Linked DNA regions of Saccharomyces cerevisiae S288C. The protein of the gene in region 2 purifies or fractionates together with the protein of the main gene of each other region. This does not show direct contact. Each region holds a gene or a part of one and is shown on either strand. Other genes may lie near its edges.

The links. Proteins that work in one complex are often made in the same cells at the same time.
Region 1: the proteins of HST1 (region 2) and RFM1 purify together in Saccharomyces cerevisiae (affinity purification with western blotting; 4 studies listed by BioGRID, with this or other methods). This does not show direct contact.

Annotation. Positions count from the first base shown.
Region 1 is NC_001147.6:843,165-847,264, forward strand, and holds RFM1 (Rfm1p), read right to left. Parts: upstream 1,467-4,100; coding exon 534-1,466; downstream 1-533. Other genes in the region: uroporphyrinogen-III synthase HEM4, read left to right, coding at 1-480; FSH3 (putative serine hydrolase), read right to left, coding at 1,828-2,628; PLP2 (Plp2p), read right to left, coding at 3,105-3,965. UniProt on the Saccharomyces cerevisiae protein: Tethering factor required for histone deacetylase HST1-mediated repression. Probably involved in targeting HST1 to a subset of SUM1-regulated genes.
Region 2 is NC_001147.6:199,868-205,789, forward strand, and holds HST1 (histone deacetylase HST1), read right to left. Parts: upstream 2,013-5,922; coding exon 501-2,012; downstream 1-500. Other genes in the region: kinetochore-associated Ndc80 complex subunit NUF2, read left to right, coding at 1-430; RTG1 (Rtg1p), read right to left, coding at 2,118-2,651; bifunctional DRAP deaminase/tRNA pseudouridine synthase RIB2, read right to left, coding at 2,829-4,604; phosphoinositide 5-phosphatase INP54, read right to left, coding at 4,864-5,922. UniProt on the Saccharomyces cerevisiae protein: NAD-dependent histone deacetylase involved in telomeric silencing.

The sequences.
Region 1 (4,100 bases), 640 kb from region 2:
AAAGGTGGAGAAGACGCTGGTAATGGTTCAATCCTTGCTGATATAATTATTGATGACTTGAGTACGGATATTAAGGCATGCCCACCAAGTGAACTATTATTTCTCGTGGGTGAAATTAGAAGAGATATCATCCCAAAGAAACTCCATAGCAAGGGAATAAAAGTAAGAGAAGTGGTTACTTATAAAACTGAAGAATTAAGCGACGGTTTTAAAAGATTCATACACGCCATGAAAGAATGCGATGAGGATGAAGTATTCTCGGACTGGGTGGTAGTTTTCAGTCCCCAGGGAACGAAAGAAATTACTCAGTATTTGGGTGACAGTAACCGCCTACCAGGTTCCCATCTACGGGTTGCGTCCATCGGACCTACCACTAAAAAATATCTGGATGATAATGATGTAACCTCTGATGTGGTCAGTCCAAAACCGGACCCCAAGTCGCTATTAGATGCTATTGAATTATACCAGCGCCATAAATAATATTGATACGTCATATTTCTCTCTATTTATATTTATTTACTTCTTCAAAGAAGCTATTGGGTAGAGTCCCAATCTCTTTTGCGTATACCCGCTACACCACCTTCAAATCTAGATAATATACTTCGTATTCTTTTATTCCCGACAAGTTCATTAATCTTTATGCTCTTGAATGACGGTTTGGTCCTCATTTGCTTTTCTGGTGTATATCTTGCCTTAGGAGGGAGGATCCAATCAGACCTTCTACGTGACTCCAAAATTTTGGGTACCAAACTCTCATATAGGTCTTGGATTTTGGTCTCCCCTTCATCTCCGTCATGTCCGTCGCCTTCTTCATCTTCTTCTGACCCCAGTCTAGACTGTGAACGTCTTTTGTCTCTTTCTGATATCCTTGATGATCTCCTTCTAATACCATCCCTTTCAGTTATATCTGAAGCAATGTCAATATTTTCCACTTCTGATATTGGAATTGGAAATGGCAATTCACTTCCATTTATTTCAGAAATAGTAACATCATCATTGTTTGCATTCGCTTCACTAATTGAGGGTAAAGATGCTGGTAGACTATTTTCTCTTTGAATAGCTCGAGATCTCGTACGTCTTCTTCGACTGGCAGCACCAGTAGTTGTAGGAGTGTTCTCACCTGAATATTCTGTATCGCTGATATCAGCTGATGAGTTTGATCTAGTAGAAGAGGAGGAGGAGGATGTGTTGCGAGGGATTGGTTCGCCGACTTCTTGTGTAGAGTTCCTCTTGATTTTCTTGTAGTATATTCCATATTCTTTATTTCTTAAACTGTCAATATCCACATGGCCACTTGCAGATATTCCTTTTTTGAACGTTTTTATCAGGAAATAATCCTGATACGATTCAAACTCCAAGGGTTTAATGGATTTATTAAAGTCTTTTATTTCATTTATTAACCTCCTCTTATCATTGATTAAACTTTGCAAATCACTATTTTTTATGATTTCCGTATTTGTACTCATTCGCACTTTCTTATAACACCTTCCTGTTGTTCTAATTAAATTCTTTTAATTAAAATTAATAGTTATTTTATATGCAATGTCTTATGATCACTTCTAGCTGTCAGTGTTCCTAGGATAGTGTTCAACAGCGTTTAATATTAATATATTGAGATACTTCCGCCAGATAAAAGAAATCCTTACGTTAAATATATATCATTCGTGTGCCGCGAAAATTCTTTCTTTAGCAACAGATATAAATCAGGTATAGAAAATCAAACGTCAAAGAAGGCGGCAGAAAAGTCACACTATTCCTTTTTCTCGTCGATATTTTCAATAGTTTTATAAAAATTGTATGTAGCTCATATAAATATCAATTATCGAATTACAATTTACCCAAGGAATCGATCATATCTAACAAATCATCTTCCAATTGAGGTTTGTCAAATTGTTTCCGATCTACTTCAGGTTGGGCATTATGCTCTTGACCCTCTTTGCTAGTAATTCCTTGGATCCAATTGCAAACTTGGGATACGAATGGTTTCGAGTTTGGGACAAAATGGGCTCCAGGATGAACCAACAATGTCCTTTTGTTATCGGGCCATGACTCGTACAATGCCATGATTCTAGATTCTGCTACAACTTCATCTAACTCCCCCCTTACATGTAGAGAGGGCACCTGGATAATCCTATGATATTCTTTCTGGTAGGATTGATCTTCTAATTTGAATCCACTAAATGAAATAAAAAATTTTAAAGCGGGCTGTTGTTCATCAGTAAGATTTAATATTCTGTTAAAGTCAGTGACTAAGTAGCCCCCAAGACCTGCACCTTGGCTGAATCCAATGACACCATCAAATGGTCCATTTTCTAGCACGTAGTTACGTAAATAGTTAAACACCTTTTGATCTATTTGAAAGGAATTGAAAGATTCGGGATTTCTAAAGAACCACCCGTATACTTCATCACTAGTCGCTGAGGTGTTGAATTCCTTCGCAGCATCTCTACCCTTTTCTGACTCTGATTGGAATAACGCTTTTTTATCAATTGAATGTGGGGCGCAAGGATAGTATAAATCGTAACCTAACTTCTTCAAATTCTTTCGTAATCCTCCAGTCTTCGCAGAAAATATCTTATCGGATTGGACAAAACCATGTAGCATTAGAACTTTCTTCTTTTCACTCATAATAATAATTCTGGGGTTTGTGGTAGAATTCAGTTTGAAAATGCACCGAAGTAGAACAGATTACTTTCTGTATTACTGCATCCATAGTGTTCTTTATACGCACAACTAGAAAAAGTAAATTTCTATCCTCTGACAACAAAGCGAAAAAGTAGTAAAACTTGATACCAGACCATGCTCCATATGACGATTTAAAAGGTTTATTCTGTCAAGATGTGCCTGCTCGAACTTAATAAGGGGTTTTATTGTATCTGTATCCTAAGTATGCTTGACGGTAATTAAAGAGCTTTAATTGGTTGCCATGACAACGGCTCTTACTAAAATCCATGCTGCAGCGATGTTCAATCATACATACCGTAATCCTCGCGTAAACATTCAGAGAAGTACATGACAAAGTTTGCTGTTCTTTATATCTGTATATATTAAATAATGGGGATAGTGACACCACTTAGCCTGTAAATAAGGAATATTCGCACTATTTAGTCAAAAAATCCATCATCATCATCATTAATGTTGCCATCATCATTTCCACCTATGCCGACATTAAATTTTCCTCTAATACCTGACCTGATCGATTTTTTTTCACCGTAATGCAATTTTCTCTCTTCCCTGGATTCTTCATCGTCTCGGTTCATTATCAGTCTGTTGTCTCCTTCTGCAACAGCGCCAACTTTTACCATAAAATCTTCAAAGTCTTCCATCTTGGAATTATTACCACCCAGTTCTAGTAGCGTTATCATGTTTTTGATTACCTCACCCCGGTAATATACAATTAATGTCGGGCAATTGGATTCGGGATAGTTTTCAATTGCTCTATTGGCAGGTATTTCTACAAATTTTATTTCTCTGAATTTGCATGCAGCAGATTGGAAAAGATGAGACAGAATTCTGCTTTGTAGTTTACTTTGAAGCGAGAGATGAACGAATACGTAGACACCACCGTCATCCTCTTCACCATTGTCATTGGTTTGTGCACCTTCATATTTCTTTCCCTGACTGGCCAAAGTAACCTCTTTGTTGTATTCAGGTTTGTTAATGTGGAAAACTTCTCCAAATTTGGAACGTTCCTGTAATTTGCGGATTTCATTTAATCTTTTGATCTTGTAAGCTTCCAAGAAATCTTCATCTTCATCGTCTTCTAGTTCTTCCAAATCCGACAAGTCTTTATCTTCTAGTCTATTTTCATGCTGCTTGGCAATTGCTTCTTCTAATGCTTCTTCTAACTTTGCAGTGGGCGAAGGTGCACGTTCTGGTATTACACCCTTCGCTCTTAAAATATCGTTCCATTCACTGTCTTCAGATTCGTCCACCTGGACCTGAAACATTGGTTCATTCTGCATTATGTCTGCTGAATATGCCTTTCTTCTCAGTGATGTTTACTCGAAGGCGTTATCTTGTACTGCAGATTTCTTCAGGTCGATCATATAACCTTTTCTTTTTTTCCTCTAGCGGGATTTCCTCTTTTTTCAGTAATT
Region 2 (5,922 bases):
AGAGTCTAATCGAACTGAAACGGAACTTGTGGGATTAAAGCAAAATTTAATCAACAATAAGCTGAAATTGATGAATGTATTGGAAACAGGTATTATGTATAAATTAGAAATCTTACAAGAACAGTTAGATTTGCAACTCAAGAATTTGGAAAAGCTATCGCAAGATACTAAAGAAGAGTCGCGCCTAAATGATACTAAATTGATGGATCTACAAATCAAATATGAAAATGAAATCAAACCTAAGATTGACAAAACGGACATTTTCATTCAAGAGGAACTGATCAGTGGTAAAATCAATAAATTAAATGATGAAATTAAACAATTACAAAAAGATTTCGAAGTTGAAGTTAAAGAAATTGAGATTGAATATTCTTTATTATCTGGTCATATTAATAAATACATGAATGAAATGCTCGAATATATGCAATAGCAGCGGTATACTTATTTTTACTCCCCCTTCTGTGTTTTCTTCTTTTTTTTTTTTTTTTTTTTTTTGGAATTTACTGTTGTTTCTTTCGTGGCTGTTTCTTAATCTTATACGTACCTTTATCTATTTCCGTACAGTTGTAATCTATCTTCTTTAGATCTTGCCATTTTTTATGCGGTATATCCCAATGGCATTTTTTAGCTACGAGACTGGCCACGTCATCACAGAATCCCAACAGGTTTAAGTCAAACTCTGCATGTGTAACCATATCCCTATTGATCAAAATCTGCGGAACATGTGAAGGTACCATATTGACAATTTCAGACACAGGAGCCACTTTCAAACTTGTTCCTATACAAATCAATAGATCGCATTCCAGTATATCTTTGCGGATGGTCTTATGAAATCGCGATGGCAGGGCCTCGCCAAAAAATGTCATGTCTGGTTTCAAAACACCATACGACTTTAAAATGGGTGAGTTGAAATTTATGTTTGTTTGCACCGTATTATTGCCATTACTCATAGGAAAATATTGTTTTCTTTTTTGATAACAGTAGGGACATAATGGTAGTTCAAGGTTTCTAATATTTTCGAATATTTTCTCACCAGGTATTTGCCAATGGCAAGTCACACAAGATGCAGTGGCGAATGAACCGTGACATTGCACTAATTTATCAGGATCTATCCCTGCATACGATTCTAAGTTATCTATATTCTGTGTGTAGTTTCTTAATAGTTTGCCCTTGTCTTGTAGCATTTTAATGAAGCTGTGCAACGGAGAATACATGTTCTCTGGTGGTAAAACCATATGGGCAATATTGTAAAAAACAGAAGGGTCCTGTAAGAATATATCCAAGTTGAAAACATCCTGAGGGTCTTCCAATCCAAGGTGTCGGATCTTAGAATAAAACCCCTCAGATGATCTAAAATCGGGAATACCTAAAGAAGTGGAAACTCCAGCGCCCGTCAGAACCAAAATTTTTTTGGCGTTACGCAAAGTGGCGGTGAAATGATCAATCGTATTGAAGTTGGGTAATCGAAGCCTTGTACTAAGGACTTTATTTATGGCTTTTTGTAAATCTTTGATTAATTTTACTGCATGCTTTTTCTCTAAGGGATCGGTCAACTCGTCCTCATCTTCAGCTTTTGCATGTATAGACGATAGTTCCGCACTAGAACGTTCTTTATTAGAAGTGATATTAGAGTTTAACGCCATAAATAGTTCTTTATCTTTGACGTCGAATCCCAGCAATTTTATCATGAAATAAATGTAGATCGAGTTGACTTCCACTGGCAAAAAATATTCTAAAAAAGTTTTCAAATCGTTGTCCTTCAAAAACAGTCTTGCATTCATAACATCATCTTTAGTGATTGCAGGAAAGATGAATTTGCCCGTCACCTTATCCTTCCCGAGGATACAAGGGTACGTTAATCTCGTTTTCAGCTTCTTCGTAGCATTATTATCTGACTCTTCTTCTTGAGGTCTTTTCAACATTGTCATGGTCAGCTCTCCAACATGAAAGTATCGCCCTTGACTAACCACCAAAATAAAACTAACTATCCGTTGCATTAGCAATATGTTCATTTAGATTTTTTTTTCTCACAAAAACAACAAAAAAGAAGAGAAGTGTTCGTATCACTACCAACGAGGGTTATCACAACATAGCAATAGTGAGAGTCAGAAGTACTTTTAGCTACCATTACCGTACTCACCATACCCTCCGTACTCGAAGGAGCTCAACCTCTTTGCTGGCGGTCTTACTGAGTCATCATTTGTTGCGGCCAGCGGTCCCACGCCAATCCTGGACAGGGCGACTTCAGCGCTGGTGTTCTCTAAGTTTATATCGTTGACAATGGTGCCTGTCTGCTTGGCCAACTGAGTGGCCTTCACCATCAGTTCCACCTCCTCTCTGTTCTGTGTGTCCACTTGATTTTGTAGATGTGATATGTACTCTACCGCCTGTGTGAGAATTTGGCCCTTGTTGGGCTTTCCGTCCTTGGTCCCTGTACCTTTGGCCTTGCTGGACAACCCAAGCGCACCGGGAGTGGATTCACTTAACGTGTCATTGCTACCAGAATTGCCGTAATAATCTCTAAAGAAGTCTTTGGGAATGATACTCAATAGTTCTTGAATACGGTCGTTGATCTTATCTCTGCGCTTGCGGTCATTCTTGAAATTAGCACCGCAGGACCCAGGATCAGTGCCAGCTGGAATGCTGCTCATGTTTGGTGTTGTGCTTTCTTTTGGTTCACTATCTAGTGTTTTTTGTCTGTGTTGTGGTTGAAGTTAATTCCATTCTTTTTACTCAAAATTTTCGGTGGCGCCTTTTTCCGTTTCCAGTAATGAGTGGTTATTGTAGATATGATGTAAGATTACATGATAATATATATGCTAAATAGTCTAAGCTTTGTCGTCACTATTATCGTGGCCTTTGAAGGCAATGATGGTGCACTCCTCCTCGTAGCCTGGTATTTGTATGTAGTTCACACCGTGCGATTCCAGCTTGTTCAAACTTGTATTGTTTTTAACAAATGTATCGGGCTCCATAACCCCCACGAAGACAGTACCAATGGCACCTTGGGTGGCCAGGATTCTATCGCAGCAAGGCTCATTGCCACTTAGCCTGAAGGAACAGGGTTCCATGGTTGTATAGAGCACTGTTCCCATAGGGACTATAGTGGGACAGTTCGGGTGTAACTGCGAGTACTTTATCAAAGCACACTGTTCTGCATGAGTGTTTCCTGGTAGCTCTCTTGAATATCCTGTGGCAAGTACTTGAGTTCCATGAACAAGAACGGCACCAACACTAAAAGCAGTCTTTGTCGGGCCACACTTACCAGCTTCCTTAACGGCCATTTCCATATATCGGCGATGTGGCTCTAAGGCCCATTCAGGGTATTTTGTTCTATAACTCCAGAGAGGTTTTTGCGTATCCGAATTTCTTTCCAATGACTCGTACCGGAAGGCATGCAGCCAGAGGTCGAGATCATTAGTACCGGGATCTGTGTACATTTCAGCCTCGCATTCTTCGCACTGACGGCCAAGCAAGTATTCACCCTCGCTATGAGGATGAATCCAGCTCTCTGCAGGATTAGTCTTGCCAATAGCGTCTAGTTTCAGAACGATGTCATCATAGTTTTGAAGTCCACCGCGGCCCAAATCTGGACCCCAGATATCTGGGTTCGAGTATATAGGGTCATTTGCTATGGGAAATCCCAAGTACTGCAAATGGACTCTTATTTGGTGAGTTCTACCTGTCAATGGTTTACACTTTACAATACTCGTCTGTCCATCATAGCTAACCCTTTGGAAAACGGTCTTGGCATGTTTAGCGTTTTCATCGCTCATCTCGCAAACAGCGTTTAGTGCAACTTTAGGGTTAACAGATCTGACAGGCTTATCTACCTCTACTATACCTATAGGGAACTCGCCCTTCACGCGGGCTACGTATTCTTTGGTGACTTCCCTCGCTTTCATTTGGTCTCCCATTCTATCTGCACCTAATGGAGTCTTGGCTAAAAACATTAGTCCACTAGTTGGCTTGTCTAGTCTATTACATGGATGTACTGAATAACCTAGCTGTCTTTCTAGCATTTTTGTAATGGTATTGAATCTGTATCTGCCCGTTGGGTGCACTGGAATACTGCTGGGTTTATCAATGACAAGGATATCTTCGTCTTCAAACACAATATCTATTGGTTTAGATGTGACTGGCGGTTCATGTCGATGTACTTTATGTGTGATCAGATCACCGTCACGAATGATGGTATCAAGGTTTGCAGGTTCATCGTTTAAGTATACTTTTCCCTCTGCAATGGTTTTGGAATAATAGCTGGGCTCTCGATCCCTGAATTCGCTCACGAATACATCCACCAACTTACGATCTCTCCACCTCTCCTTACAGAAAGTTTTATAAGTGAAAAAATAAGGCTCAATCTTCCTTAAGGGTCCATCAATTGTCACTTCATAATCAGGGTCTGTCTTTTTAGTTTTGTGCCCATCGGTTTGAATAACTCTCAGTCTGAATCCACTCGCATCTTTGACTTTGGAACTGTTTTCGTTCCTATTATTATTCCTGTTCGCGAATTTTCTTAACTTCACTTCCTTTGCAGACTCAATTTCTTTGTTTAATAAGTTGTTGAAGTCATCGCTGGCTTCATTATTAGAGTCCTCCATTTTGATTGGTTTGTTAATCTAATATTGATAGTTTTTTTTTTAATGTTCTTCTCTCTCTTCTTCCTGTTTTTTCATGGCAATAATTTTGACTAGTTTTTCTTTTTTTTTTTTTTTTTTCATTCTTTTTCATTATTACTTAAGTTCTGTAAAGATATATGGAAGAGAAAATAAAAAGAATAAAACCAAAGATAGTGGTACAACTGACGTTATCTGTTTCAGACATAAATGAAAAACTTCTAGCCTGACAGCCCAGATCACTTTACAGGATTTTTAATAGTAAATATAATAGTAAAGAACCTAATATCCAATAATGTACATTCTTAGTAACTAGCCAACCGCAGTACCCGATGACTGCGTCACCAATTTGTCCAATCAGGCCAGAGCTCCATGATAAAGGATACTTTTCGATATGTAAGGATAACGGCACTGGCGTCCCTGTAGACCTTGGTAATCTTACGGTAAGATTAACGGGTTGATGATCGCTAAATAATAGAGCATTGGACCTAGGGACGGAATGGTAAGTACCTTCTTGTGCGAAAGTTGGCACTGCATAGCTTTTGTAGAGAATCCTATCGCACCACGACGGGATTCTTTTTGTATTATATGTTTCCTTTTCAAACAACTTGAATTTGTATGTCGGTGGAAATGTTATCTTCAGCTCCTGAAAACCTTTGCATAACGGTTCATCCTCTCCTTTACGTAGCAGATTTAGTTCTTCATGATTTTCTAATAGACGCCTTAACGTTGTGGTGGACGAATAATTGGTAGTTGGATCATAAGTACTAGTAACCCTAAAATTCAAATCGCCTAGAAAGAAAAAGTGGTCGCTTTTTGCAACCTCAGAATCACACACTTCACTCATTATTCGTTTGTAATCATCTATTCTTTGATTTCTATTGTTGACACCTTCATTTGCATTTAAATGAGCACAAATATAGCTAAATCTTTCCCAGTTCTCCTCGCCATTGCGTGTCATCTGAAAACTTATCAAAGTTCCACCTTTCAAGTGTGTACCAAACCAACCGCATTTCCCATTCCGTTTCAAAATATCATCTTTTACCTTTAGCGCATTATTATTGTATAATACTATTATGGTAATCGCCCCAAGACTATTCACCCCTAAACATGAATACTGCTCATCCCCTTGTGTAGCTGACACTTTTTCATTCAGACAATTAACCGCAGTAGTTGTAATTCTATCGATTAAATCACGATTAACAGCAGGGAAGGAGCCTTGCCATATGGGGACTACTTCTTGGAACCCCAACACATATAGATCTTGCAATTCCAATTGGGAGATGCCGTCATCGTAGGGGAA